Linked DNA regions of Alligator mississippiensis. The protein of the gene in region 1 interacts with the protein of each later gene in a biochemical or structural test. Links are inferred from orthologs where the notes say so. Each region holds a gene or a part of one and is shown in the gene's direction. Other genes may lie near its edges.

What was found.
Region 2: the proteins of PKD1 (region 1) and HDAC9 form a complex in vitro, tested with the Homo sapiens proteins (2 studies listed by BioGRID, with this or other methods). The link is inferred for Alligator mississippiensis from reciprocal best matches to the Homo sapiens genes PKD1 and HDAC9.

Annotation. Positions count from the first base shown.
Region 1 is NC_081836.1:57,687,598-57,702,750, reverse strand, and holds the start of PKD1 (polycystin-1), read left to right. Parts: upstream 1-9,541; 5' UTR 9,542-9,661; coding exon 9,662-9,915; intron 9,916-15,153. UniProt on the Homo sapiens protein: Component of a heteromeric calcium-permeable ion channel formed by PKD1 and PKD2 that is activated by interaction between PKD1 and a Wnt family member, such as WNT3A and WNT9B. Both PKD1 and PKD2 are required for channel activity.
Region 2 is NC_081828.1:162,519,202-162,534,543, reverse strand, and holds the start of HDAC9 (histone deacetylase 9), read left to right. Parts: upstream 1-9,518; 5' UTR 9,519-10,116; coding exon 10,117-10,141; intron 10,142-15,342. UniProt on the Homo sapiens protein: Responsible for the deacetylation of lysine residues on the N-terminal part of the core histones (H2A, H2B, H3 and H4).

The DNA of each region.
Region 1 (15,153 bases):
AGAGTTTGAAGATGATGCTGGGGGTTTGCACAGCCCTCGTTAAGGTTGTGCAGGGCAGGTCTAATGCTTCCTATTGGCAAAACCCTCCCAAGCGCAGCAACAAATTGTTGGGAAGTTTGCGGGACAGTTCATTAACTGCCTGCTTAGCCCCAGAGTCACACAGGATTCGAGATGCCACCGACCTCGTGGTGAATTGGCTTTGATAAATGAGTGCAAAGCTGCTTTGGGTTCTGCTCCAGCTTGTGTGTCCCTCTGGGGTTTTACAAGTAAATATTTCCCAGCCTTTTATGCATTTCTCCCTGCAGGTGTTGCTGGAAACCTCCCCTCCTGCCCCAGCAAAGCAAATGGGTGCCCCCACCCCCATTCCTGCTAATCTCTCTCCACTTCACAGGTGTGAACGACCCTCTCTTCTTTTTAATGGCCTTGATGCTCCACCATTCAAATATCCTTTCCTCTGCAGTGTTGTCCCTAAGTCCTTCCTGATACGGCCTCTCCTCTATTTCACTGCCCTGCAGACTGCTTTTAGCTCCAGCGCTAGTGTGGGAATATTAACTCAGGTGCAGAAATGACTGACAGTGAAGTTTTGGAGGCACTGTCAAGATGCTCAAGAAGGCTAGACTGTGTTTTATAAATCTGAATGAGAGACATACATTTAACTCGAACGATTGCAGGACTGATGACACAATATTTTTTGACTATTTTGACTATGTTTTGCCTGGCGTGTTGTGTTTTTATCGCGTTATATATAATCTAGCAAATTAGCGCACATTCCAATAGCTAGATTTGTGTTTGCTTCAATCTTCAACTGAATAACATAGCACTAACTCCCTAGGATATTAGGAAAGCTTCTAGTAACTGGAGTGTTGTGCTATTATGTGATGTGCCCCATCGACTGCACCCCTCTGTTCAACATCCTAGATCCACCCATACAATCATAGAAAATTCAGGTTGAAGGGAGCTCAGGAGGTCACATCTAGTCCAACCCCTGCTCCAAGCAGGACCAGCCCCAACTACATCATTCCAGCCAAGGATTTGTCTACCCAGGTCTTAAAAACCTCCAGGGATGGAGGTTCCCCAACCTCTCTGGGTCGCTTCTTCCAATGTTTTACTGAATTGCTGTTCCAGAGATGCATCCAGCTGCTGCTTCCCCTGGCACGGACTTCGTGTCCAGCACCCACTGCCCATGTCCTAGTCCTGTGTCTGGCTGGACACAGGGCAGCAATGCTGTAGCAGGCTGTACTAACACGGCGGGGCAGGCCTGGGGAGATGGCATCCATCAGAGGACACCAAGTGTGCAAAGCAGGACGTAAAACTTTGCTGCAAGGCTGAGGGCAAACCCAGCTGGGAGCACTGCGTACAGGGAATGTTTTTCTACCGCTCCATAAAAGCAGCCCCAGCTCTGATGAAGCCGAAGCAGCTTTTCAAGTGAAGACAATGACAAATCACTGTTTTTAATGCAAAAATAACCGCTTGGTTGAAAATGGAGACCCAGCGTCGAAGGAGAGGAAGGCACAGAACTGCTCTGCTCTGGGAAAATAAAAAATACCGACTCCCACGGTTGTTCTCAAATGCCATCTCTCCTTCACGCTGCGGGAAATGCCCCAGCTGGGGTCCCTCCGGCCTTCCCGGTCCCCTCCAGTGCAGAGCTGGTTCTGCTGAGCACCACGAGGGCAGAGCAGCATGAGGCCCCTTGGCTGATTGATGGGTGAGGGCTCTGTCCCGTCCCCAGGCCTTGCCATGTCTGCGCTGTCGGGGCTGTCCTCATCATCATCAACCAACACACGTTGCACCGGTTCCAGTCCACACAGAAATCATCCTTAAACCAGGCCAGGTGTTGGCACCTTCGCTCAGGCTGGGCATCGCCGCATGCCACGCTGCTGGGAGGAATAGACCGTCTCTGCCTGCACAGGCAATGCCATTCTTCTTCTCCATGGCTCACAAGCCAGCTTCGCCCTCGGGGAGTTTGCCAGCAAAAAGGACGGGACATCTCGGTAGAGACGACTTTGCAGCAGGTCTTCGGTGCCCAGCGGAGCTCCACCGATTCCCACCCGCGGAGCACCTGCAGCAGTCGACCCTTCGCTCTCCACCATCTCAGGCTTAAAAAGTCTAGGAACGCCCCAGAGGAAGAGATTTCCAGCTTCAGCTTCCTCTGTACAAAAATGAAGTTTATTTCCTACCTATGGGGACTTTTTACCACCTTTAACTTTCCCTGAGCCTGAGGAAGGGTGTGCAAGCCCGAAAGCTTGCAGACAAAGATAATTGTTTGGCACTTCCTCAGCTGGTCTAATCAAAGGTATCATCTCTGAACCCAGAGTTCTAGCTTTTTGCATTTCTTTTAGGACCACACGTGGCATTTATCCCTGGACACGTTGTGCCCACATCTGTCCGGAACAGAAATACAAGCGTGCACACATGTCACCCTTCTCATCAGGTTGCAGTGAGGGGCTGAGCAACACCGCTGCTTTTCTGCCACGGATTTGATGATGCAGCCCCAGGATAACTGTTCAGATGCACTTTGCCATGCCCCAGGATAAATCATTAGTCCTCCTTATCCCGTGATAAATCCTTCTTAGGATTTAGCCGGGGACAACAGACATGGACGTCTGAACAATCTCACTTTGTCCCAGGATAAAATGGTTTACCCCTGGACAAATGCAATGTCAGTTTGTAGCCAAAGACACGGGTACAGCTCCAGGCAGATCCCTCACCTTGTCAGTCCAGGAGCCAGACTTCCCTTATGAATCCGTGCCCCTGCAGGTTGCTCAGAGGAGGCCTTGGTAGGCCTTAGGGCACACGCACACAATGCACTCTGCAGCTGCCCCGGGGCTGTCAACCCGGGTAGCCTTGCTTAATTTTAGCCCACTCGATGGCATCCCCTCCCCGCACCATGCCCGCTGCATGGGGAGCTCTTCACCTCCTGCCCTGCTTGCTGTGCGGTGTGACGGCGTGAAATATGGATGCTTCGTCCCAGCGCACGGACTGGGGAGAGACGACGATTTCCTGGCCCACCGTGACCACTGTATTTATAGGAACTTCAAAATAAAGCCAGCTAGCAGCGCCTCGGCCCAGGAGACGGACCAGCAGAACGAGCTCCTGCTCCCTGCCAGCTGGTCGCCTTCCAACACTGCTGTTGCAAGGAAGAAAAAGCATGGAGGGGCATCGACACGTCCACGGCAGGTCCTGCCGTGCGTGCACGCAGAGGCTCACACTCATTGCCTGCAGCGCTGCCAGAGCTAAAGTGCTCTGTAAAGATGCAAAGGGGAGTGATGGCCCAGGGCCAGGATGGCACAGCCCTTCAGGCCCCTTAAGCAGCAGCAGCTAATCATGTTCGGTCTGGGGCTGCCCCGCCGACTCGGTCCCAACCCTGAGCCCGGGGATGCGCTGAATGCACCCGGGTACGCAGGCCGCCGTGGGGCAGAGCTGATGGGAGAGCGCCAGGCTCCGTTTCTCCAGCAAGACAAGGTTGCTCCAAGCAAATGGATCAGGGAACGAGACAAACGCTGGTTCGGTGACTTTGTCCAGGGCTCGTTTCCATCCTGCAGCCAGAAGAGACAGGAGAGGGAGACAGCTGCGGCCACTCCGGCAGCACCACGCGGGATGCTTCCCAACCTGGCAGTTATTTGCCCCCTTATCTCCTTTTGGGGGAAGACAGTCCCCAAAAAGCCCACCAGCCACGCTGGCGACCCTGCCCGAAGAGCCACCTCAGCAGGCCCCGTCACACCCCGGCAGCCCTGCTTTCTGCCTGGTTGCAGGGAGAGGGCAGGCAGGAGCTAGGTTTCTTGGTTCCCTTTGGATCAAAGCCTCAGTATTGCCTATTGCCAAAAAACAAAAATCATGACTCAAACCGTCCCCTCCAGAAATCGATGGAGTTAAAAGGCATTTGCTTTTAAAAACACCACATACGCCGCCCGCTTTCATCTGCCCCTGATGATGGAAACATTTAAGAGCTGCACATTGCCGCTTCCCCTGCAGCCACGATAGCCAGGGACCGTTGTTCAAAAAGCGCAAACCTTCCTGCCTAGTAAGTGGAGTCCAGCTTTTACCAACAAATACCCCGAGGCCTGTGATAAAAGCAGTATTGGAAATTTCCAGCCACGCGTCCCTCCTCAGATATCCCCCCTCTCCAAGCCTGGGAAGGGTGATGCATAAAATGTGCGTTGTGCAGGCAATAAAAGCGATGGTGTTTTGCATTTCATCTCTCTGCAGTGGTGATCGATGGGGTATTGAATTCAGGGCAAATTGCCCTCTGTCGAGGCATTCGTTGCTAATGGAGGACGGCGTGGAGTGCCGGCGAAATGGTTTCGGCAACATGCATAGCACGAACCGGCAGGGCAAGTCCGTGGCTGCCTTCTGTGGGGTGGAAGCCAAACCACCCTACTGTGTGTCATAAGCCCTCACCTGCCAACACTGATGGGGTGAGTCTGTGTGCTGGGGGGTGGGAAACAGGGAGCTCTGGGCTCCAGCTGAGCTGCAATGTTCGGGGCGGGCTTGACGGCCTGGACCTAAAGTGGGGAAAAGGTGCAGTCAGAGTGAGAGATGCAGTGCCCACTTATTGGGGGTGCTGGGCCTTCTGCAGTGCCTGGGGAGACTGGGTACCCCAGGACGGGGTCCAGAGGCACCTGCCAAGGAGAAGACTCAGGACAGGGGTGTCTCTTCCATCTCTGGCTCTGCGGCACCTCCCTTACCTGGGGTCCAGAGCCCAGACCCACTCTGCAAGGCAGGCACCTGCAGGCTCCCTTCGAAAGCCAGAGCAGGGCTCCCTCTCTCCCTCTAAAACAAGAGACATCTGCTCAGAGGGACCCTGTGATTTCATCTCATGGGGAAGGGGCGAGATGCAATACACGGTAATGCAAAACCACGGGAAACTGTGGAGAGGGAAAAATGAACAGTGGGGCTGGGATCTTCCAGGTCCCTTGGAAGCCTGCGGATGGGATTCCTCTGCTCCTCCCAGGGACCGAAAGGGGACGAGGACGCGTGGTGCCCTCTGGGTACAGCAGCCGGAGGTTAAAGCACCCTCCACCCACTGGGATCACTGCACACATGGGGATTAAAGGGTCTTCGGGAGAGCAGACAGGAGTGGTGCTGTAGCCTAGTGCTTAGGGTGCTTGCCTGGGAGTCTTGGGGTCTGACCTCTCATTCCCATAGCGATGCCATTGAGCTAAATGGCGGTCACTTGAGCAGTGAATGAACCTGGGTTTTGCGGATGGATTTGGCAGCTGTGTTGGTCCGAGACAAAAAGAAATGCAAAAATCTAGAACTCTTGGTTTAGAGATGATACTTTTTATTAGATCAACTGAGAAATTGGGGAAAAAAGGGCTTTTTAACCTTTTTCTGCAAGCTTTTGGGCTCACACACCTTTCATCAGGCTCAGGGAAAGTTAAAGATGGTAAAAAGATCTTGCATATAGGAAATGCACTTCATTTTTGCACAGAGGAAGCAGAGGCTGGATATTTCCTACATATGGGGACTTTTTACCATCTTTAACTTTCCCTGAGCCGGACAAAGGGTGTGTGAGCCTGAAAGCTTGCAGGAAAAGCTTTTTTTTTCTTTGCAATTTCTCAGTTGGGCTAATAAGAGGGATCATCTCTGAACCAGGTTTTTGCTGCATGTGGATGGCTATGGGGGCCTGTAGCAGTAAGAGTCGCGCTGTCGCAGGGCAAGTGTTACGTCCATCTGCAGCCCGGGTCTCGGGCTCTGGATGCTCCAGCTCAACCACCACGTTCTCCAGCTTGTTATGTGACGTCGTATCCCCCGTGATACATTATTATGCCTGCCTACAGCCTAGACGGTGGGCAATCAATGGTGGGGTCTCTAAGGCATCTCTAAGGCAGGGCAGTGGGCCGGGCAGAAACGCATGTCTGCTCAGCTGATTTCTTGTATTTCTTTTTGATTTCATGTAAACCGCGTTTGAGAAATGTGCAACTCATGCACCACGGGTGAGATGCAGACGAATCCCCCTGTGGAGACAGTCCTGGATCTAACGACGTCCTCCGTGGCCGTGTGCAGTTTGCATTGCACAATGCATCCCAGTGACGAGACCTTCCTGCTAGATCAGGCATGAGTCAATGCAAACCACGCGTCCTCTCGCAGCGTTATCAAGACTCACTGCACGGTTTCCCAGCCCACCCATGATGTCTTTGTTTAGTCCTCCAAACAGCTTGTCCGTTCTACCGTTTGGGGGTGGGAAGTACAACCCCATCGGGTCTTCATTTGCTCGGTCACAGGAATGATTGACGCTGTTGATTACACTCAAATCTCCAGCTGGATGGATGGATGGATGGATGGATGGATGGATGGATGGGGGGATTGATGGATGGATGAACGGATGCATGGGTGGACAGATGGATGGATAGATTTTCCTTGCTGTTATCTGAAAGCCGAATTTGTAGCGGATGTGAATGTTAATGCCAGAGGGTTAGAGAAAAAAAAGAAATATTTACAACTGGGGAAAGCAGAAATAAATGTTTCGCAATCAACTCAGAAAGTAGTAAACACGGCGCTATTTCTGGCCTAATTCATCGAGCAAGGGATGCTGTGTCTTTCGGGGGGGATTTCCAGCCCAAAAAGCACGGATGTTTTCACAAATGCAGCTCGCACAGACACAAAAACCCTGCCAAGGAGGGAAACTAGATGCCATGAGATTTTCTAATGCTTCCACAGTGCTCTGGACGTGGTGGACGAGGACTGACATTGCTCTAGCAGCGTCCACGGCGCAACACGCATGCTCAGAGGTAGCTGAGTAGGTGCTTGGATGCTTTGCTGGACCAAGGGATTCAGCACCACGGAGCAGGCAGCCTAGCAAGCAGAGGAGAGGGCTAACAGAGGCATACAGGAGTGACACCTCTAGTATACAGATATACAGGGCTAAGTGAATGCACACGCAATATTGACTGCATATCCAGGGCTGCAAACACAGGAGCTGCCCGTGCTCGAAGAGCATCGCGAGGTCAGACCTAGGCACATGTAGAGCTCGTCTTTCTTCGCCATCCGGTTGCAGTTTTGAAGGTTTGAACGTGCAGCTTTTTTCCTCCCACGTGGAGGAGGGGCTGGAAACCCTCTTTTCTAGGGAAATCTGGGATCCCGACACACTCACCTGACTCTGGGAGCTGATGCTTCAAGGACAGCATCGGTTCTGCCCAGGCCGGGGGTAAAAGTCACGGCACATGCACGACAAACCTGCTGTCCGGGTCAGTTGTGGCACATCACCCCCACAGCGGGTGAGGTTAGCTGTGGTGAAAGGCAAAGCCTGGAGCCCCTGAATTCACCCCCCAACACCCCAATCCCACCCTGAACACTGTCTCGTCTCCCTGCTGCTTGCACCTGCATCTCCCCAGCCTCCCAGCCCTACTTTTGTCGGGGCTTTCAGTTGAAAGCTGCCAGGCACATCCTCCGTGCTGCCTCCCGGGGGGATGAGGAGGGTCCCTCAGGTGAATCCCCATCCAAGGCTTTGCTGACCGGACGTGCTCTGTCCAGGCGCCGTGTGCTGAACCCCAAGCACCAGCACACCCCGGCCAACTTCCCCGGGAACGCTCTGGGCCCAGCACTGACCCACTGCTCCAGTGACTTGCAACCACGGGGGCTTCGCCGTGAAGCGTTGCTGCTTAGGAAGGGCCAGACATTGTGGAGGATAGCAAAAATCCCTGGAATCTCATCAACAAAGATCGCAGACTGGAGCCTGCAGGCCTTATTTAGTCAAAACCCCCTGAGCAAGCTTCGCAGAGCGGGGGCTTGCGCTGCAATCGCGGGAGAGCTGCACCCACCTCACTGGGAGCCTGCAGCAAAGCTCAGGCTGGCCCGTGCCTGCGTGGGGCTGGCAGGACCCCTGCGGGGGCTACGAGCCCTGTCCTAGCCAGCAACCCCAGGTCCAGCCTTCAGGAGAGCTTTGTGGCTGCGCGTGCAGGGCCAGAGATGGGCGGCTGGTTCCTGAGCAGAAGCTGGCCTCAAACCAAGGCTGATTTGGAGGCTGTTTGGGTCTCTAACTGCTGCTCCCACCTCCTTCTCCCTTCCCAGCTCAGCCTCACCTTCCCTCCCCTGGCTTCACCCCTTTCCAGGGCTGCCTCTCTGGTGAGATGCTGAACCAGACCCCCGGTCTAGAGCAGTCCCTTCCTGCTGGGGCACGTTTGGACTTGACCTTGGGTCTGCAAATGAACACGCTGGGCCTGCGTCTCTCGAGACTCCCCCTTCCGCCTGCTTCAGGTCAGACCTGCCTGCAAGCTCCCTGCTGCTGTCTGTGCCCACCTTGCACAGCGCTCTCTGCACCAGCGCCGGCACCGTCTGAGATGCCCACAGCTCCTTTTTCTGCTTGCGGTCCGGTGCCATGGGCTCACCCCTCTTTCAGCCCTACAAACACCCGTATTTGCTGGGTATGGTGAGAAAGCCCTGGACGCTGCCCAAGTTTTCCTGCTTGCAAACCAAGCGCTCAGGCACTGAGCAAGAAGGGCAGCCCCACAAGTCTCCTCACTTTGGCTGGTAGCTCCCTCTTCCCGCTAGAAACAGACAATGGGCTTCATGTGGCCCTGATTCAGCCAGGATAACAAACCCCCAGTCCGGACTGGGGGACGGGGAAACCCTTCCTTATTTGGTTGGTCTGAGCCTCTGGCTGGGACCTGGCCTGGCAGCAGTCCTTGACGTGCTAGGCTTAAATAGCAAATTAAATCGAATTAGACCCAAAAGGGCAAGTGGGAAAGCTCAGGTGCTGAAAGAGGAGGTAGGTGAGCTGTCTGGGATCTGGGCCCATGTAATTCAGGCCTTGCAACCATGTCACTGATGGGGACGGGTTCGCTTTAGCGCTCTGAGAGCTGAGGAGAACGTGAACCCCGGCATGCAGGGGCAGGAGGGCAGCTCAGCTCCCTGGGGTGCTCACAGCATGTGTGCATGCATGTGACCAGGGTGCTCAGAGTGTGTGTGCGTGCATGTGACCGGGGTGCTCAGAGCGTGTGTGCGTGCATGTGACTGGGGTGCTCAGAGCGTGTGTGTGTGCATGTGACCGGGATGCTCAGAACGTGTGTGCATGCATGTGACCGGGGTGCTCAGTGTGTGTGCATGCATGTGACCGGGGTGCTCAGAGCATGTGTGCATGCATGTGACCGGGGTGTGTGCATGCATGTGACCAGGGTGCTCAGTGTGTGTGCGTGCATGTGACCGGGGTGCTCAGAGTGTGTGTGCATGCATGTGACCGGGGTGCTCAGTGTGTGTGCATGCGTGTGACCGGGGTGCTCAGAGCGTGTGTGCGTGCGTGCGTATAAGTGGGGTGCTCCGGGGGGTGCGCTGCATGTGAGCGGGCACAGCTGGCCCCGGGGCCCCGGCGCCGCAGGGTGCTGCCCGGCCGCGGGCGATGGGACGGGCTGGTCGAGGCCGGACGCGGACTGTCTGGCCGTCGCCGCGGCGCAGCAGGGAGCTCGGCCCGGGGGCGGAGGCCGGGCCGGTCCTGGCCGGAGCAGGAAGGGGCAGCGGCCGGGAGCTGGAGCTGGAGCTGGAGCGGCGCGGGGCGGGCGGAGCAGGCTGGCGGGCGGGGGCGGCGCGGGGCGGGCGGAGCTGCAGCGTCCCGGGCCCGCGGCGCCGCGCAGCACGGGGCAGGCAGGGGCAGGAGCGAGCCGAGCCGAGCCGAGCGGGCCGGGCCGGGCGGGCCGGGGCCGAGGCCATGCCGTGCCCGCAGTGAGCGATGCCTTTGGGAAATGGCCCCACGGCAGCCCCGCGCCCCGCCTGGAGCCCGCTCTGCCGCCGCCTCCTCCCGCTGCTGCCGCTGCTGCTCCTGGCCGCCGCCCGCCCGGCCCGGGCCACCGCCACCGCCGCCACCGCCACCGCCACCGGGGCCTGCGCCCGCTCCTGCGCCGCCGGCTCCTGCCTGCTCAACTGCTCGTCCCGCGGCCTGCGCCAGCCCCCGCCCGCCCGCGGCCCCGCGCCCGCCGCCGCGCTGTGAGTACGGCCCGCCCGGCGCCGCGGTCCTGCGGGGCACGGGGATGGGGACATGGACCTCGGGTGTACTAGGGGGCACGGGCATGGGGCACGGAGCTGGGGTGTACTAAGGTGCACAGGGATGGGGGCACAGAGGTGGGACGTACTGGGGTGTATGGGGATGGGGGCACGGAGCTGAGAAGTACTAGGGTGCACGGGGATGGGGACACGGAGCTGGAGTGCAGTAGGGTGCATGGGGATGGGGACATGGAGCTGGAGTGTACTAGGGTGCATGGGGATGGGAACATGGAGCTGGGGTGTACTAGGGTGCACGGGGATGGGGACATGGAGCTGGAGTGTACTAGGGTGCATGGGGATGGGGACATGGAGCTGGAGTGTACTAGGGTGCACGGGGATGGGGACATGGAGCTGGGGTGTACTAGGGTGCACGGGGATGAGGATACGGAGCTGGGGTGCACTAGGGTGCATGGGGATGGGGACATGGAGCTGGGGTGTACTAGGGTGTACGGGGATGAGGATACGGAGCTGAGATGCACTAGGGTGCATGGGGATGGGGACATGGAGCTGGGGTGTACTAGGGTGCACGGGGATGGGGACACGGAGCTGGGGTGTACTAGGGTGCATGGGGATGAGGACACGGAGCTGAGATGCACTAGGGTGCATGGGAATGGGGACATGGAGCTGGGGTGCATGGGGATGGAGACATGGAGCTGGGGTGTACTAGGGTGCACGGGGATGGGGACACGGAGCTGGGGTGCACTAGGGTGTACGGGGATGAGGATACGGAGCTGAGGTGCACTAGGGTGCATGGGGATGGGGACATGGAGCTGGGGTGTACTAGGGTGCACGGGGATGGGGACACGGAGCTGGGGTGTACTAGGGTGCATGGGGATGAGGACACGGAGCTGAGATGCACTAGGGTGCATGGGGATGGGGACATGGAGCTGGGGTGTACTAGGGTGCACGGGGATGGGGACACGGAGCTGGGGTGTACTAGGGTGCACGGGGATGGGGACACGGAGCTGGGGTGCACTAGGGTGTACGGGGATGAGGATACGGAGCTGGGGTGCACTAGGGTGCATGGGGATGGGGACATGGAGCTGGGGTGTACTAGGGTGCATGGGGATGGGGACACAGAGCTAGGATGTATTAGGGTGCATGGGGATGGGGGCCACGGAGCCAGGACACACTGGGGCACATGGAGCTGGGGCGCATGGGGGTGCACAGGGCTGGGGGGGCACAGAGCTGGGGTGTACTAGGGTGCATAGGGATGGGGCACACAGAGCCAGGGTGCACAAGGCTGGGGACATGGAGCTGGGGTGCACCAGGGTGCACAGGGCTGGGAGATGTCCTCTCCCCTTCTGTGCTCACACACGGGCAGGAGGCTGCTGGGGGCTGTCAAAGACCCCCTGCCCTACCCTGCCCTGGCTGGGGGGTGCCCCCGGGCAGCCCGCTGTGTTGCCCCAGCACTGGGTCCCAGGCACCCTCCAGCCCTGTCCTGCAGCAGGAGGGCAGCGGTGCAGGGCAGGAACGGAGGCCGGGCCCAGCCCAGGGCGAGGGGAGGCAGCTTTGCCCGGGCAGGGGCCAGTGAGGTGCCCTTGTGCCCCTGCCTTGCAGAAGGGCCTTTCCCCCGTGAGCCCTGGTCTGTGGCATCTCATGGCCCTGCCAAGCCTCCTGCCCGTGCTGAGCCGTGGGCACTTGTAGGGCGGGTGATGTTCTTTGCAAACTCTTCCTTATCCCTCCGGCCTCGGGGGTGTGCAGAGAAACTCCCGAGATGTCCCTGAGGTCCAGGGACATCTCAGCTGTGCGCACTCAGGGTGTCTAGAGACGCAACGACCCGTCTACCACGGGTCCACCAAGCCAAGTCCCTGATTTGGGAGCCAGGCTAGGGTCGAGCTGCGAGAACTGCTCTTCTGTCTTGTAGCTGGCATGTGGTCGCCCCGGGTCCGTCACTTGAGGGGAAAGCTTTTCTGCACTTCAGGAGACAAAGTGATTCAGGCCCAAAAGCAAACTTAAAGCTCCCGAGAGCCGTTCCCCGCGCAGCTGGAACACCTCCGGTTGCCTGCCCGCGACGGACGCAGCAGTGAGGCAAACGCCCGCGTTTCCAAAGCTTGACAATCCCGTTCGAATCGGACCTTCCACAACGCCCTTGGAGATGCTGAGCTCAGCTCCAGCTCCCTAATGTGGGGGCCAGATGGAGAGGGCCGGTGTTTTTCCCTGAAGTTGAGACTGGGGCGTTCTCGGTACTTTCCTAGAGGAAAATACCGGAGTATTCAGTGTTTGTGTAGGGAGATACAAGTTGGAGAACGAGATGTTTTGTGACCTTTGAAAGGAGACTTAGCCTAGCCTTGCGCCGGTTGCTGCAAAGGCCGTAGCCGAGCCTTGTGCTGGTGGCTGAGTTTTTAATGTTCTTACAAAAACCTAAGCAAAGGCTTTTGCAAAAATTCCTTAGTTGGGTGAGATCAGTTTGGTTGCCCAGACTGCGTATGTTTGGAGCTAGACATTCCTGGTGGAGGCCCTGCAAGCTTAGCGTTCCTCCAGACTACAGCCGGACCTGGCTGCGCGAGGATCTTGAAAAACCCTTGCAAGGAGAGCGGTGGGAACAGGGAGCATCCCGGGAACCTCTGGTCTGGTTTTTGGAAAGGTTTTGGCTTATTGCAGTGGCTTTATCCGGAGCGGTAGTGTTGCTGGTAACTGTTTACGCTGGGTGTGGAGGTGAGGAGTTGGGTGGGCCGTTCTGATGTCATTGCAAATCCAAGTTGCACGCTAAGGGCCAGCTAGATAAACCCCCCAACCTGCAGGAAGACTTCTTCTGGAGTCAGGCGACTGAGACTTCATGGTGTTATTATCAAATTCTCCTTCATGGATGAATAAGCAAGATGTGTTTGGACACTTGTTGAGAAGGACGGTTTGCACGCATAGCGTTGCTCCGGTAAGGAGTTGTCATAATTGGACCGGTCGTCCAGCGTGCGCCATGAAGGCTATGAAAAGATGCACTTTTCCTGTTTTGCCTGCCCAGATGTTTGTGCCCTATAGCTCCCGGATCCGCATTGGGATGTACAGTGTAGCCATGTAAATAAACCATGTAGCAAGCTTGCTACTCTGTGTCTCTTGGGAGCAGGAGATATACTTGCCTACGGGTGGCTCTCAGGATATATGTTTGACCCCCTATATTTGCACATCCACAAGCTAGGAGGGAGGGAAACTAGACCACATATACAGCCTCCCCAGTCTGACGTTCCTTTTATTGAATCCCGACTCATAAAGCAGGTGGTCTTAATATTCAGCTACTTACGCTTGCACATTTGCTCGAGGGAGCATATTGTAATAAAAGCGTCAGAGCTCTATGGATAACTTGAGACCAAATGAAAATGGCCTTTTATGAAAGCAGTGATGTTGGGCACAGTATTAACACCAAAAGGGATGATACACGCCGTGCAGCGAACTCGGCCGGGTCTGCGGTCGGGCGCGTGGTAATTGCTCCGCTGAAGGAAAATGCGATTACGTATGGGGAGCTCTAGATTCAAAGTCTACGGAACAAATTCCTCCGGTATCGAGCAGAACAGCCCTGCATTTTCGCGTTCGGAGTTGCCAGCGTTGACGGAGCGGTTGCTGTGAACACAAAGGGAATGCCACATCCAAAAGAAATCAAGGGGGAAAAAACCAGCCCTGCCAGACATCCAGTCTGCATACCTAGATGAAAGCGGGGGCCTGCTCTGTTGAACAGGACATCAGGAAATGTGGCTTGCAGGGGCACTGACGCTGTTCTGCAGACACGCCTAATTGAGATTTAAAAGGAAAGGCGAAGCACGCTCCAGTCTGAGTGTGCGCTTGAAACGTGTCGCGTTTAAGGCGTCGGTTCTGGCAGGTCTGCGCTCGCACCGATTGGAAAAGTGTTTTCAGACGACCTTAAAGCGCGCTCCTGCGGGTTTCCTTCACCCCTTTGTGCTGCGGTCGGTGGGGACTTGGTGAGGTAGTTGATTTCCAACACTTCTGGACACTTTTGGTGACTTTTGACACAGGATTAGTATCCGTTTGTATAAAACGCACGTACTGTGGAAACGTCACTTCTTTTCCCTTCCACAATCCTGACATTTTTCAGGGGGGTCCAAAAAGGTGGTGTTAGTTTGCAGCAGAGACAGCACCAGAACGCTAGCAGGGACTCGTAGCACTTACAAACAGCTCCATCCTGTGAACACGCTCACTTTGCACACTCAGCACTTTGCACACTCAGTCCTTTAGCGCCCATAAGACTGCTTAGGTGAGTAGGGTAACTGTGCAAAATCGGGCCAGGATTGGGTGCTGAGTACGGTCTATCGCCACGTTATTTTGGGGGGACTGCGGTGCCTGTTGTCTGGGTCACCTCTGCCAACGGGCAGCCTAGCAAACAACTTGAGCTCAGCAAACCGTGTCAGGATAAATATATTTTGCAAGAGCAGAGCATGTGTTTTGTCACATTTATTTTCTCACCCATTTATTTGCAAGCCTCTGCCATTTACAGCAGGTCTCCATGAGACAGCATTTGTGTCTTGAAACAGAAATAAAGAAAACCCCCTTATTCCGGGCTCGAAGGTGTCCGAAAGAGAATGAAAACTAAAATCCAATTAAAGGGAAAAACAGCAGCAAGCCGCCAGCCCGCAGATCCTAAATATCTCCGCTTCAGCTCCTAAAAAAAGTGGGAGTCTTTCTCCAGTAAGAGTCCTCATCTCCACCCGCGCTGCAGGCCCAGGATCTCGTGTTCAAAAAACTTTTATGAGCGAGGGCACAAGTCGAGGGCCAGAGAGGACTCAGTGCAAACACATTCACTCTCGAGGTTGCAAGGACAGAATAAACTGTGTTTTTGAGCCCAATATAGCCTGAGTTAATTAATGCAGTGAGCAAGGTGGGGATGTAGATGGTGCTATTAACCCCTAGCAGGGAGCGTCACTAGTGCCTGTGCGGCTGGAGGCGATCGCTCCCCACAGCTGGACGGCATTGTTTACGGCCCTGTTTCCAGCTGTTCCAGACCCGTTCCAGGTACAGCCCTCTTTTCGGTGGTTATCCTTTTTCATTTTGAAGTCTAATTTGGGGCTTTTTCGGCTGCTAGTGTTCAGCATTTCAGTAACACAAACACAGTCACTGAGGACACTGTGTATCGGGGAGCGGACGTGACAAAGTGTTGCGCATGTCTGCTTGCAGAACTGGCCAAGTGGTTGTGCAGAAGAACCAGGAGCAATATCGAGGCATCTTGCCTGCTAA
Region 2 (15,342 bases), on another chromosome or scaffold:
ATTAATCCCGGTAATGAGATAAAAATCCAGAGTCCATGTTTCAACCATAATTAACACAATCTAACATGGCTAATTACATCTGATATTGTAAGATCAAGCCTTTCCAATTACTTGAAAGCATCTGATGCTGGGCACCAAAATCAATTTCCTGTTTTGAAAATATAGATCAGTAATATTTCTTATACCAGAAGTAAAATATGTATTGCATTGCTTTTCATATTTTACTTCAAATTCATTATATTCCTAAAAATTGAAGGAAGCTTAGAAGGGTCTGGCCTACTAACTTGTCTTCACTAACTGTTTGACTGATTTTTTTTTCTTCTGGGGTAGGAAATGTCTTTAGATTTTGCTTGCAAATAGCTAACATTGCAGACTTTTTCAATTCAGCCAGTTTCCAGTGTGGGCCCATTTTTAACCCTCATCCGTTCTCATGAAACTGTAACAGTTGCTGTTCGCAGGGGGTAACTTGTTACTCCGCAATTTGACATTGTTGGTCTCATAGGGTAACTTATTACCCCACCCGCATGAACAAAATGGAACCAGTGACAATAGTATAAATGTACCAAAAACTATTTATTAAACATACAGATTGTTGGAAAGAGTACTTATGATTTGAACCCAAAATACTATTTAAATAGGACTGTGAATGAAATTTAAACTTTTTTTTTTAGTGTTTCAAAACGTGAACGTACAATTTGCTAAGCCTGCAGTTCACACTGTTTTCAAACTAACAATTACTTCAAAAACATTTTGTAACTGTTTTAACTAAATATTGCATTCCTCACAAAGCAGCAGTGATGTACTGTGGTGTACACAAGAAAATCGCTTACAATCTTTGCATCTTTTCTGGGTTTTGCAGTCATCTGTCCTTGGACAAAAAGCACAACATCTAGTCATGCTTGCAAAAGGTTCTATTGGGGTGCGTTGTGGCAATTTGTAATTTAGGCCAGTCATACCAGCCTTGATAGATTCAGACAGATTACGTGTATCCATCATTCTTTGTTTTATTTGTCTGTCGATCAACTGTTCTCCAAGCTCCTGCAAAAAAAAAAAAAAGCACCACCTTCTTATATGTGATCTTTGCTTCCAGTTTGCATTGTGGCCCACGCAAATGATGAGGCTGGCAGTGTCAACCAGATCCAGTATATTGAAAAATAGTGTCATTGGTGATTCTCCCCTCCCCCCACCCCACAGGTGGTCGTATGGACTAAGTCGTCAAGGTTATCCACCCCACCCTTGTTTTTATTGTAGTCGGGGATAATGTCTGGCTTTCTTCGCTCTCCACCCACTGACTGGTCATGGTGCAGGCTTGACAGCAACAGCCCAACTTTGGACTTCTTTGGAACATAGGAAACTGGGGAGAGTTCCCCATCAAAAGCAAAAATGGATAAAAAAGTTTCCCTTCTTTGATTTGCTTATTTTGTTTGGGATATTGTCCTTGTTTTTCCAAATCATACCCACATAGGTCAAGTCCTGCTGTAGCAGTCTTTTTGCCAGGTCAATACTTGTAAATAAATTGTCACCCACAGTATTTCTTCTCATCTTGTACAAGGGATAAACCAGTTTTTTCAACGACCTGGGTACCAAGATTACCTTGGCATGGAGCTTCTGGTTGCTTGCCCAGGTAGATGTCTCCAGACAGAGGGAATGATGTTGCTGCATCACAGCACCACCAAATTTTCAAGCAATATTTGGCAGGATGGCTGGGCATATACTGTCTGAAGGGACAGTGACCCCTGAACACAATGAGCTGCTCATCAACCATCAGGTGTATTCCTGGAATATACCATTTCCTGAGCTGCTCCACTAATTGTGTCCAAATATCTCTGAAGACCGCAAGCTTGTCCACAGCTCTCCTTTCCTCACGTGTCAGTTTGTTGTCAAATCTCAGGTAGTTGATGATTTGGCAGAATAATTTTAAAGTCATGGTGGCACAGAGGCAAGGACACCCAATTGCGTTGCTCCCACAACTCCTCCAATGCCTCATGACCACCATAGTATAGACCACTTAGCAGTAGGAGGCCAACGTAGACTTTCAGCTCTGTTTCTTCCAGCTTTTTCCACTCCTATTTTCAGGATCGCTATCATTGCACTCCCTGAATCTTCTTTCTGCCTCTCTGTTTGTTTCTTTTAGTATAACAGTCAGGATATCTTGTGAGTCAGGATATCTTGAGAGAGAAACTGATGGAACATTTCCACCACCATGTCTTTATTACTTTCTCTTGTTGGCCCTGCACTTTCATGGACTACGTCCTTGGCTGTTCTCCGAAGATGTATTAGCTGTGGACTTTTTCCCCACACTCTGCCATTCCTTCCTGTAAAGGTGTCATCATCTGCAGTGTTTTCTGGGGGTGGTGGCAGTGGTTCTGCTCCACATCCTGCTGTAGCTCTCCTTGGTCTTCCACAGCAACCCCGGACTGATCCTCTTCCCTTTCCCACTGGAAGTGATGGCATCACTTCTGCTTGTGGCACCAACTCCTCCTCATCTGAGCTGGATGAAGCTTCCATAGACACGTGATCTTCCTGCTCTGAACAGTCTCCCATGTCTGGAAAGAAGTCAGAATCCTTACTGCCTTGGGATAAGATTTCATCAGTGGACGTGTCGCTTTCATCCCCGGTTACCTGTTCAAGACAGGCTTAAGCACTGAATATGTGCTGCCTTCTTATCCTGGACTGCAGAAAAAAAAGAAAAAAATTGATTACTGCTGAATGCATATAAATAACAATCAAAGACAAGCCTGTCTACCTATGCTGTCACAGAAGCAATTCTGCCCTGCCCTGTGGCAGTGCAGGTAACACCCTCTCCTCCTTGGCACAAAAGCCGGAGACCATCATCCACCCTTTGCAGGCAAGCCAAGTGTAGGTGGATGCTGTTTGGAAACCACATATGCAGGAGCTTATTGAGAGCAGGTAAAAGGGGCATGGGGGTGTCGAGCCCTTACCATTGAAGGGGACTCCATAGTGTACTCTGTATTGCAGTATGCTGTTGTTCTGTTTCTTCTCTGCTGTCCCTTTGCTCCTTGTCCTCACTTCCAACAAAAGCAGAGCAAACTAACTTGTATATTATGAAAGAGGTAGATGAGGTGGAGTTTTGTCATGAGAAAAGAGAACAGACATGGATTTGGGTGTGACAAAGGGTTTTTGTTTTTTGGCAAAGGGCAGGGTGTTTTGATAACCTTGCAGCCTGCAAAGAAAGTGGTTAGCAAAAGGGATTACCACATCTTTGGCAAAAGCAGTGGAGGATGGCCATCCATTAGTTACCGTGGATACCTGAAATGGACATGAATGAGGTGTGAATGAATGCTGATCTTTCAGATGTATCCACTCTGGCTAAACAGGCCTAGGCCTGTCATTTTATACAAAAATTGGATTGGGTAACAAGTTACCCCAATGCGTTAACATGAGCTTGGAGTAAATTGTTACCCCATACGGAAAAACATTCATGCCTGGGGTAATATGCTTTTCATCCACAGAGAGCAAACTATTCATGTAAGCTGGCTGTTTTTTGGGGATATTGGGTGCTGCAGTGCCTGTGGCAACTTCTTAAGAAGAAAAAAATGTAGAATGAGTTAACTTTAAGATACTACACAAAATATGCGTCTGGGATAGGAAATTACCCCATGGGAACATATGACGGTTAATTCTGAGATGTCCAGGTAGAGGATGGCCGAAGAGTTAATGTTGTAAATCCTAGTAATTTTATAAACTTTTGCTGCTTGCAGTCAGTCATTTTAAGTAATGAAACCATACTCTATTCTCACTGTTCAACATATATTTTTTTCCATACATAAAACACTGGAAAGAGAATATGGTAGAGAGGCTATCTGAACAAGAAAGAGGTGCTGCACAAGATCATATTATCGCTTTATACTCAGATACTTATGACAGCTGTGAAGTTGAAACTTTTTTTTACATAAGATTTTTGTTAATGAGAGATTACTGCACAGCAAAAAGGAAAAGCATCATTAGACTTTTGACATTGGGGAATTGGCTAGATGCATGAGATATGGATCTGAGTGGGTTCTGGCAGGTCTTTGTTAAAAACCTTAATTTATAGTGTGTTAGCATCTTTATTTCAGGAGTTTTACTTGAAACATGGAACCTTTGGTAATAGTTTGAGGATTGGTGCTTCAGTTACTTTTGGTTTGGGGTTTTTTTCTATCCCATGGCAAGGAAGGAGCCATATTGCACAGTGAAAGACAATGTGATATCAGATAATGAGAAAAGACAACATTGAACTAAATTGGAGTTGTCTTAAAAACAGATGGAAAAGATACAACATCATCAACGTCCTTTCAAATATTATCAGAGCTTGTGTTAAGGACGGAATGGAAATGTGGCTTTTACTCGCTCTGTGGGTTAGGTTAGCACCACCATAATACAATTCAGGATGGTTGTCTGTAACGGGTGAGGAGCATGCAGGGTTGATTTGTTTTTTTTTATTTTTATTTTTTTCTTTTAATTTTTTTAAGAGGGTCTCCATTCAAGAACAGTTTGGTGGCCTCACACTTGCCAGAATCCAGAAAATATTTTATTTTGTAGATTCATGAAAAATTGTATTTTGTCAGAAAGTTGTAAATGAAGGTGAAAAAATGGGGGAAGGAAGAGGGCTTATCCTGGTAATACCCACTAAAATGATTCAAGTAATGCCCCTTGAAATGGCTCTGTAGGTGAGATCCTCAGCTCTCTTGAATAGAAAAGGCACAAAGGGGTTCTTTAAAGCCTCATACCAAGATGTGCAGGATCTTCCTGCAACAAGCATTGCTGGATTCCATAATTGCAGGACCCCAAAAATCAGAAGTGTGATTATTGGGGTCCTGCATCGGATCCCATCATGCCTTTAACATCTATCAGGGGCCTGCGTGACAGCTTCTTGACCCTGAGCCACAGACAGCTGAGAATCCCTTGGGCATTTCAGTTTAATAAGTGAGTCAGGCCTAGTAACTAGAAGGGCATTCTGGGACAGGGATGCAGAACTTTTGTGTAGAAAAATTCTCTAGTCCTCTAGATCAGGTGGTGAATGAAGTGCCTCCCTCTGGTTGTCCTCCAAGTGGCAGAGTTTCCTGGAATCTCTGCAGCACTGCATCTCAGTCGTGCTCTGTCTGCTCTTGAGCTCTAAAGAGGTGCAGGACACATTCTCCTCTACGGTCTCCTTGTATAGCTGAGTGCATGAAGAAGTTTTAATGTAAATGAGAATCCAGCTCTTGCTATCTTTTCCCACAAAATACAATGCACACAACTGATGCATCTTATCTTAACTGTGAATTGAGAGCTTGAAAATTCTTAATTCTGTAAAAATATTTCCATTGACTCTGGAGTATGGGAGAAGTGCAAAAAATGTCAGGAATGGTTTTAGCAATATTGAGCTATTTTAATGCACTTTTTCATACAGTGGACAAGTAAGATCCTTTTGATTGTAAACAGTAAATGGTCCTCTCCATGGAAAGCTTTAGTAAAACATGGAAGATACGTATGATCTGAACAGGCAAGGTGATCAGATTCTTCAAGTCAGGGAAGATGCATTTTTGCTTACATTTTAAAGCAATGCTGTCTGTAGGCAAAAAAAAACTTTCAATCAGCAGTCAGTGGAAAATTAGAATATTGGGTTGTCTGCAAGTCTATAGTGTAAAGGTAAAGGCTTAAAGATAATGACTTTTTTATATTGTGTAAAAAGTATTACTTTCACTGTTCTAATATGAATACTGTACTGCATTGTCCACTATTATCCAAGGGTCTCTTCATTCAGGGTCAGATTGTGAACTGTTTTCTGTGACCTTACAAGGGAATTCAAAATGCTTCTGTGCTTAGCAGTGCGGGAGAAGGTACAGCTTGTTTTGGGAGAACTGTCTTCTTTGGATGGCTATATAGAGGCAGTATGAATGGCAAATAGCAGTCTGGCCTACAACCTACCAGCAAGTGTAGCTGGGTTGGAAGATGTGCACTATCTTAGATAGAAGTGGCACAGGGGAAAGGTTCTCTCAGCAGTGACAAAGTGAGAGGTAGGTTGTTTCCTACTATGCTCATCGCCGTATACCTGGCACAAGGTATAAAATAACACTTTCCACAGAAAAATCATGGAACCTCTTTATTCCTTAGAAAACAACAGAGTAAAATAGAATGGTGGCTATCTCTCTTCCTCTAATTGATTTATAATCATTTGATTTAAAGGTCAGATTTTAAAAGACAATTTATGTTTTGCCACATAAAAATTTGTCTTTTGGAAAAAAAAAAAAACTCCCAGCAAAAACTTGTTCTTTTAGGCAAAGATATTAAAAAGAAACAGCTTGGGGAACTGAAACAAGCTGTCCAAACTTCTAAAAGTTGCACTTCCTCAAGGAATTTCAGCAATGGTCTAAAAGGGGACTGGAACAGTTAAGATAGTTTTGTTTCATTTATTTTTAATTTTTTAAATAGGAAGGAACACTGTGTAAAGATTTCTCAAGAGATAAAATGAAACATTTTTAGTTATTTGACTTGAAATTATAGTTATAGATTCATAGATGTTAGGGTCAGAAGGGACCTCAATAGATCATCGAGTCTGACCCCCTGCATAAGCAGGAAAGAGTGCTGGGTCTAGATGACCCCAGCTAGATGCTCATCTAACCTCTTCTTGAAGACCCTCAGGGTAGGGGAGAGCACCACCTCCCTTCGGAGCCCATTCCAGACCCTGGCCACTCGAACTGTGAAGAAGTGTTTCCTAATGTCCAATCTAAATCTGCTCTCTGCTAGCTTGTGGCCATTATTTCTTGTAACCCCCAGGAACGCCTTGGTGAATAAATACTCACCAATACCCTTCTGTGCCCCCATGATGAACTTACAGGCAGCCACAAGGTCGCCTCTCAACCTTCTCTTGCGGAGGCTGAAAAGATCCTGTTTCTCTAGTCTCTCCTCGTAGGGCTTGTTCTGCAGGCCCTTAACCATACGAGTGGCCCTTCTCTGGACCCTCTCCAGGTTATCCGCATTCCTCTTGAATTGCGGCGCAGTACTCCAACTGCGATCTGACCTGCGCCCGATAGAGGGGAAGTATCACCTCCTTGGACCTATTCGTCATGCATCTGCTGATGCACGATAAAGTGCCATTGGCTTTTTTGATGGCTTCGTCACACTGCCGGCTCATGTTCATCTTGGAGTCCACTAGGACTCCAAGATCCCTTTCCACCTCTGTACCACCCAGCAGGTCATTCCCTAGGCTGTAGGTGTGCTGGACATTTTTCCTCCCTAGGTGCAGCACTTTGCATTTCTCCTTGTTGAACTGCATCCTGTTGTTTTCTGCCCACTTGTGCAACCTATCCAGGTCTGCTTGCAGCTGTTCCCTGCCCTCTGGCATGTCCACTTCTCCCCATAGCTTTGTGTCATCTGCAAACTTGGACAGAGTACATTTCACTCCCTCGTCCAAGTCACTGATGAAGACATTAAAGAGTATTGGTCCAAGGACCGAACCCTGCGGGACCCCAGTGCCCACACCCTTCCAGGTCGAAACCGACCCATCCACTACGACTCTCTGGGTGCGACCCTCTAGCCAATTCGCCACCCACCGGACTGTGTAGTCATCCAAGTCACAACCTCTTAACTTGTATGGGGTGGGATACCGTGTCGAAGGCCTTCCTGAAGTGTAAGTGTACGACATCCACCCCTCCTCCTGTGTCCAGGCATTTCGTAACCTGGTCATAAAAAGAGACTAGATTGGTCAGGCACAATCTGCCTGCCATGAACCCGTGCTGATTTCCCCTCAGCATAATTTGTCCTGCCGGGTTCTCACAAATGTGAGTCTTGATAATTTTTTCAAAGAGTTTGCCAAGGATGGAGGTGAGACTGACTGGCCTATAGTTGCCCGGGTCCTCCTTCCTCCCCTTTTTGAAAATGGGGACCACGTTAGCCCTTTTCCAGTCCTCCGGGACTTGGCCCGTGCGCCACGAGCGTTCAAATATTCCCGCCAGTGGCTCTGCAATGATGTCGGCCAGTGCCTTCAGCACCCTCGGATGGAGCTCATCCGGGCCTGCCGACTTAAAGGCATCCAGTTCTTCCAAGTGACTCTGCACCATCTCAGGGTCTACGCATGGAAGTCTGGCGCCTTGCTGATGCCTCTCTACAACCCCAGTGAGAGACTTGTCGTGTCCCTCACTTAGGAACACTGAGGCAAAGAACTCGTTGAGGAGTTCAGCCTTGTCCCCCCTGTCTGTCACCAATTGTTTCTGCCCATTTAGCAGCGGTCCTATTCCTCCCTGGGCCTTCCTTTTACTCCCTATATATCTAAAAAACAATTTCTTGTTGTCTTTTACTTGGGTTGCCATCCTCAGCTCCATGGTAGCTTTGGCCTGTCTAACTGCCTCCCTGCAAGTACGAGCAGAGGTGGTATATTCATCTTTGGTGATCTCACCCTGTTTCCACTTTTTATGTGCTCCTCTTTTGTCCCTTAGGCTGCCCTGGATTTCTCTGGTCAGCCAGGGAAGCCTCCTGGCCCCTTTCCCTCTTTTGCCTTGCTTGGGGATCGTCTTGCTTTGTGCCCGAAGGATCGTTTCCTTAAGGCACAGCCACCCTTCTTGTGCTTCCATTTCTTCAAATCTACTCTGCAGTGTGTCCTTGACTAATCCCCTGAGTTCATTGAAATCAGCTTTCCTAAAGTCTAGCACTTTTACCCTACTAGTTACCTTACCCACTCGACGTCTTATGGTGAATTCTATTATTAGGTGATCACTGTCCCCCAGATGGCTACCGATCTGGAGGTCCGCTACCATGTCATCTCCCATTGCCAATACCAAATCCAGTATGTCATTCCCCCTAGTGGGACCGTGTACCTCCTGTGTCAGGTGGAGGTCCTGTACACAGGTTAGAAACCTGCATGAGCGGTGGGACTTTGCTGTCTGCGTCTCCCAGCAGATGTCCGGGTAGTTTAGGTCCCCCATGACTACCGTCTCTTTAGCTTTTATGGTCTTCGAGAGCTGCCTCAGGAGCCCCAAATCTCTTTCTTCCCCTTGATGTGGGGGTCTGTAGCAGACCCCTACCACCAAATCCCTTTCTCCTTGCCCCCCATGTAGCCTAACCCACAATCCTTCTACTTCCTCATCCTTGGATTCTGTCTTGATGAGGGTTGACGTATATTGCTCACTGACATAGAGCGCAACCCCTCCCCCTTTCTTCCCCACCCTGTCCTTTCTGTACAATCTATAGCCCTCAATATGTACCGCCCAGTCATGGGATGAATCCCACCAGGTTTCTGTTAGCCCTACTAAGTCATAGGTGTTTAGTGCAAGCAGGAGCGCTAGTTCATCCTGCTTGTTTCCCACTTATATTCCATTTTGTTTTGAAATAGCAAACCGCTATCTAGTAAATAATAAAAAAATGACATAAATACAGGTGTAGGTTTACTATTTTATCTTATCTTTTTTCCAGATGTAAAAAAGCTATAACTAAAAGCAATATCTGAACAAATACACACTTGTTTGTGCGTAAAGCTTGCAGTAAATGGTGAAGGATAGAACATTTATAATGCTAAAATGTTTGAATGCAAGTATCCCCTTGCATGTTGAGGTATTATCCTTAGTCATATACTACAGCATAAGAAATTATACTTCTTTGTCCCAGCAGAAATGGTGTATATCCATCTTTTGTTTGAAAAATCCTGCCTAAGGATCTTGCTGCAATAGCTGCACCTGAATGCAGAGCTTTCACCTGTGGGAGAGGGCTTTTATTGTTTCCTTTTCAGAAGGAGGTGGCAGGCCCTCTGTAGTGGGCTGCGGAGCCAGAAGCTATAGCTCAGCCGTAAGCGCTAGTGCTAAGTACAGGCTCTTCAGGAGGACTGGGCCAGCTGAGGGAGATAATTAGTGGCCATGGGAAGCTGAAAGGCTCCCAGGGAGGAGAGCAGAACAGAAGTAGAGAGAGAGTGGTCTGGCTAGTAGGTAGAATACAGAACCAGGGTTTTTTGGGGTCTGAGAACAGACCCAAAGGCTGTAAGACCGGGAGTAGCAGCACCATGGCAGAGAGCTGAGTCACAGCTGGTCCGAGAGGAAGGACTGCAGTGAGGAAGAAGCATCAGTAAGCTGAAGAGCAGCTTGTCTGGGGCTGAAGAGGACTCAGACCTGTGAGTTAACCCTTTATGGATTGTTAGAGGACCAACTGATGTACGAGGATGCATGTGAAACAGGTGTGTCCTGGGAATAAGGGACTGTATTGTGTTTAAAGATTTTGGAGCCAATCAATAACCCTGAACCTGCTACACAGACCTTGGCATTGTTAACTATGTGCAAATGGTTTAGTTGCTGCCCATTTGAACACCAACTTCATTTTGTGTCTTATGCTTCAATAACTGCGAAGCCACCTAAATAGGGTAAGGGAAGAGGTTCCATGCAGGACATGCTCACTGAAGGGCTCTGTAGCTCCAGATTTTGCCTCTCTTCAGGTCTCAAAAAAGATTTTGGGAGATTTTCAGGGCACTCTCAGAATCCTGACTTTGTTATGGTGTTGGTGTGATAGGGGCTGTTTTAATGTGGATCTGGAGAGGAATTTATATACTGGCTAGTGAGAGGAGCTGAGGGTTATTTGGCTATGTAATACATGTGTTTAGTATTTATGGTTATGTTATATGTATTTTTTGGGGGAACTGCTGGAGTGAATGGGTTGTTGGTGGTCCCTCATGTATTTTTGGCAGCTTTGGAAGAGAATCTTTTAACTGGGTCTTTGAAACATTTGATTAAACATGTGGTTCTTATATGATGGTGGTATTGATGTAGTCATTGAGGCCAGACGGTTCTTCTCTTGAAAGGTAGGTGGGGAGTAGCACTGTTAAATGTATTGTAGTTCTATGGTGTCTGTTAATTCTCACAGTTTAAGTCATGGCTTATTTTGTTTTAATTAAGTAGATAGTTCAGACAAATCCTCTGCCCCAGAAAGCAGAAAATGTACTGAATGGCAAGGTTTTGTTCAAAATGAGCTTATCCTACATAGTTCAATGAAATATTGGGAATGATCTGGAATAAAGTAGTGTTGTTCCATTGAAGACGGTGAATATGTGCAAGCTTGTGTCAGTTGAAAATCTGGGCCATGGATTTTATATGAATTCCATTTAAAAATTAAACTGTGGCCTTCTTTTTATAAAACATCACCAGTGGCCTACTTGCCTACATGGAGAGGATATTAAAAAACTTCAGATGACTTCCTGAAGTGGATGACTCCTGACCTTGATTGACTTTCTGTTTATATATAATTTATATAGAAATGTTGCAACATATTTATTCCAAACAAGAAAATGCAGGTGCAAGATTTTATCTGTCTGTATTGTACATCTAACACTCAATTACCTTAGCTTCTGTTGAACCATATTCTAAGCTTCTTCCTGTCTAACCATCATGCAATATTTAGTATTTTTAGCCTTTAAGGATAGTTCAAGCATTGTATTTTGACACTTGACCTAAAGACAAATTGCTCAGTGAGCATAACAAATAGCAAAAAAAAAAACAAAACAAAAACTGACCCTAAAACAGTTCAAGGTGTCCTGGCTGGAGTTAGTTTTCTTTCCTCTCCTCTGGATATAATATACCATATCTTGGTTTGTATTTGGAGAAGAATTAAAAATCAAATGTCTTTCTAGGTGACACTCTTTTCTATTTAACATGCTTGGAGATACTTGGATTGAATAAACATAAGTTTTTAAAATCCTTTAAAAAGAAGTTGTATAACAGAGACTCTAAAGAGAGAAAGAAAACCCACTGGTACCTTTGGCGTAATATATAACATAGAATGCATTATGTAGAATATATAATTATCTTGGACAATAGTAGGTTTTATAAACTAGGCATATGATACCTAGCTAGTACGCCTGTGCGAGTAGGCAGCTATTCGATCCGGCTTCGGATCCGGCTGCTTTGGATGCCAGGGATCCAATCTGGAGCTCCAGAGCGGTTTCCCGCTTCGATCTGGCTGAAGTGGCTCCGAAGCTTCAGAGCAGCCTCTGAAGCCTACAGTTTCTATTTAATTACCCACAATGACCATGATCAAGTTAGTAATTAAATAGAAACTGTAGGCATATACTGCAGAGACGTGGAAGAGATCTCAGGGATAAGCTGGTCCAGGGCTGTTCAGATCTGGTGAGGCTGTGGGCCCCAGATGACGCCAGCATGTGTTGCACAGGCTGCATGCTATGGAGGTGGGCCCCTAGGACCCCCTCACTGCATGGGCTGCTCCAGCAGCATGCAGACCCCCATCCTCAGCCACGCAGGCTACATTAGCAGGACCTGAACCTCCAAGGAGGCGGCTGGATGTAGAGTGCCTCTGCACTGGGCTCCTCCTGCCCAGCCCGGCTCTGGCAACTGTGTGCCCCGCAGCCCCAGCCTGGCCCCGAGGCGCCCCCAGCTCCGCGCGGGAACTTACCTGGTGCCTCCAACCACCACACATGTGGGCAGGGCGCGGGCCATGCTGCAGCTCCCCCAGCCACGCACAAGGGGTGGAGCCAGAGGAGAAGTTGCAGGTGCTGTCCCCAGGTCGTCCAGTCAGGCGCGGCTGGGGCAGACCCCCCTCCTCCCCCCGCAGCCCTCGGAGCAGTGGCGGCGGGACCCAGCTCGTATGATGAGCCTGGCCCCGCGGGGGTAAGCAGCTCTCCTCGCTGCCGGCTGGGGCCCATGGGCCAGCCCTGCCTGCCTCGCCGCTGCCCTGCTGCCGCTGTGGAGCAGGCTCCAGGACTCCTCGCCTGTCCCGAGCGAGGGACCTTGGGCCAGAGAAAATGGCTTGGTGGGCATCATGGCAGCCCGCGGGCCATGTGTTGGACAAGCCTGGTGTATGGAGTCTCTGCTTTAGGTTGGTACTCTTTTATAAGTTGTTTTGTTCTCCCCTTTTATGAGGCACCTGCCCTCTTACTATAAGCTCCCCTGAGCCTTTGTTGGGAATGGAGAATTAAATCAAATGACTTTCTCAGCAACTGATTACCAGGGTCTGGGTGAGAGAAAATTTGAGAGATTCTGAAGGAAATCATGAAATTATGCCTTGCCATACATAATTCCTTCCTTTTTAAAACTTACAATAGAAAGTGAACACATTGGTATTCCTTATGACAACATAGATACATAACTGGAAAGCGCAATTCTCTTTTTATGTTAGTTCTCACTTGACTCACAAAGATGGATTTACATATATGAACCTGATTCTTTGGCTTCATTTTGCCTGTGGAGTGCAAGAGCGTTAGCTGCCTCCCCTCTCCCTCATGGTGCTAGACATGTTGTTGAAATGATGACCTTATTTTAGTGTACCTGGTTTCCTGCTCCTTGTAGAGTCTAGTTAAACAAAACAATCTCCCCCCCCGACTCGTGAAGACTACCTTGTATACTTTGCCATCCTATCCATAGGTGCCGACTCCGTGGGTGCTCTGGGGCTCAAGCACCCACTGAAAAAAAATTAGCAAGTGCTCAGCACCCACAAGCCATGTCTATTTTGGTTTTGACATTATAACAAAGAAACAACACTGTGCTTTACTGAAAGAAGCAGCTTGTTACTTCAATCTGGCTCTGCAGCATCTTTAAAGACTGGGTGCTTCAGAGGCCTTTTGGTGCTTTTAGCTAAACCTGATTCAATCAGCTATTAGATAAAGTGCTAAAAAAGCCCCACTAAAGTGCCCGATCTTTATAGGTGCTTTAGAGACAGGTTGAAGTAACGCGCTGCATCTTCTGGATATGCACGGGGCTCAGTGTGGGAACTCGCCAAGTTTAAAGTGCTTTTCTCATGTGTATTTAATGTCTATAAGCACCCACTGGCAAAAACCAAAGTTGATACCTATGAGCCTATCCTTCCATTCCTGAAGTCTTCTACATTTCATTGGTATCAATTTCAAGTTGAGAGCAACGGAGAAATACCCTTAAAAGAACTCTGTAGGCTACTGTTTTAACAGAAGAATGTACTAGCAAAATATCTTAGTAAGCTAAGTACCTTACTACTTGGCTATATTCTAATCTTATTTATTATCATGGCCATATCTGAAGCAGCACCTACATTGCTAAAGGAATATACTCTACTTGAGATGTGTAAATTTAAAAAAGGCTGAAAGGAGGAACTTGGTTGAAAGCTGAGTCAGTTACTGCTCTAAGTAGTGGGAGGGAGTAACAAGTAGCTAGTTGACTAACCACTTCCCTTTGTTGTTGCTTTTAATTTTTGCCTGTTAATATGACTTAAGCAGAACTGTATTCTGTAAACCACCACGAGTTACATAAGTGGGAAAATGTATGCTGGGCTCGGTATGTTCCTTTCATTTAAGATGTGTAAGGTAAAGTTAAAGTATTTCAAAAGTTGCAGCTTGGATAGTCATTGGAAACATTGTATAAAATAACTGTGTGGTAGATAAATGGATGCAGAACATGTGGAAACAAATGTCACAATAACAGATCAACTTCATGGGTTGGGACAGGGAGGGGAAGGGAGATAGGATATCTGTCTAGGTCCAGGGAAGATGCATAGTTTGTACTGGTTTTAACTACTACTCTTTCTAGTTCATGTTTTTAAGCAGTTTATTCTGCAAGCTAGGAACAAAGAACAAAAAAAGACTTAAGGATTTTGGAACCTGTGATGAGAAGATTGGTTGTTTAATTTTCATTTTTCAGTGAGATGACCATGTAAATATCTGTTTAACTGCTGAATATTATTACTTAGTGCCAGAGGACTTCTGGGTTGCCAACATAGCAGCCACTTTGAAAAAGCATTCCATAGGTGATCCACCAGTGTGTCTCACTGTCATACCTGGCACATTGCCAATTTCATTCTTTATCATATTTTCTACCAGTCACATGGACAAATATGATCTTTTGGGGAAGAGGCAGCATGGTTTTTGTAAAGAGAAATCCTGCCTAACTAATCTGCTGGAGTTCTTTGTGGGTGTTAATAAACATGTAGACAAGGCAGGGCATCCAGCTGGACATACATTTAGAGCAGGGGTTTCAACCTGTTTTGATCAGTGTACCCCCAGCGACCAAACGCGGAGCAGTGTACCCCTGGCAGCTGGATTCTTAGCAGGGGGTTGGGGTGGCTGCGCACAGACAGATGCCAAGCAGTGCGGCAGCCACCACGGGCGAGTTTCTCTTGCCTCCCACATCTGGGCGGGCGGCAGCAGCGCGGGATGGTGCATGGTGGTGCTCCGTTCCCACCTATCTGCACATACCCCCTAGGGCCTTCTCAATTGCCCATGGTTGACAACCCCTGATTTAGAGTTTCAAAAATCTTTTGACAAGGTCCCTCAAAGGCTTGTAAAAAAATAAACCGAACAAAAAAAACATTTATAGATCTGGCCAGAAAGTAGAAAGCAAAAGCAGGGTAGGACTAAATCATCACTTTTCAAGATGGAAAAGAGATCAAATGTAGGATCCTGTGGGG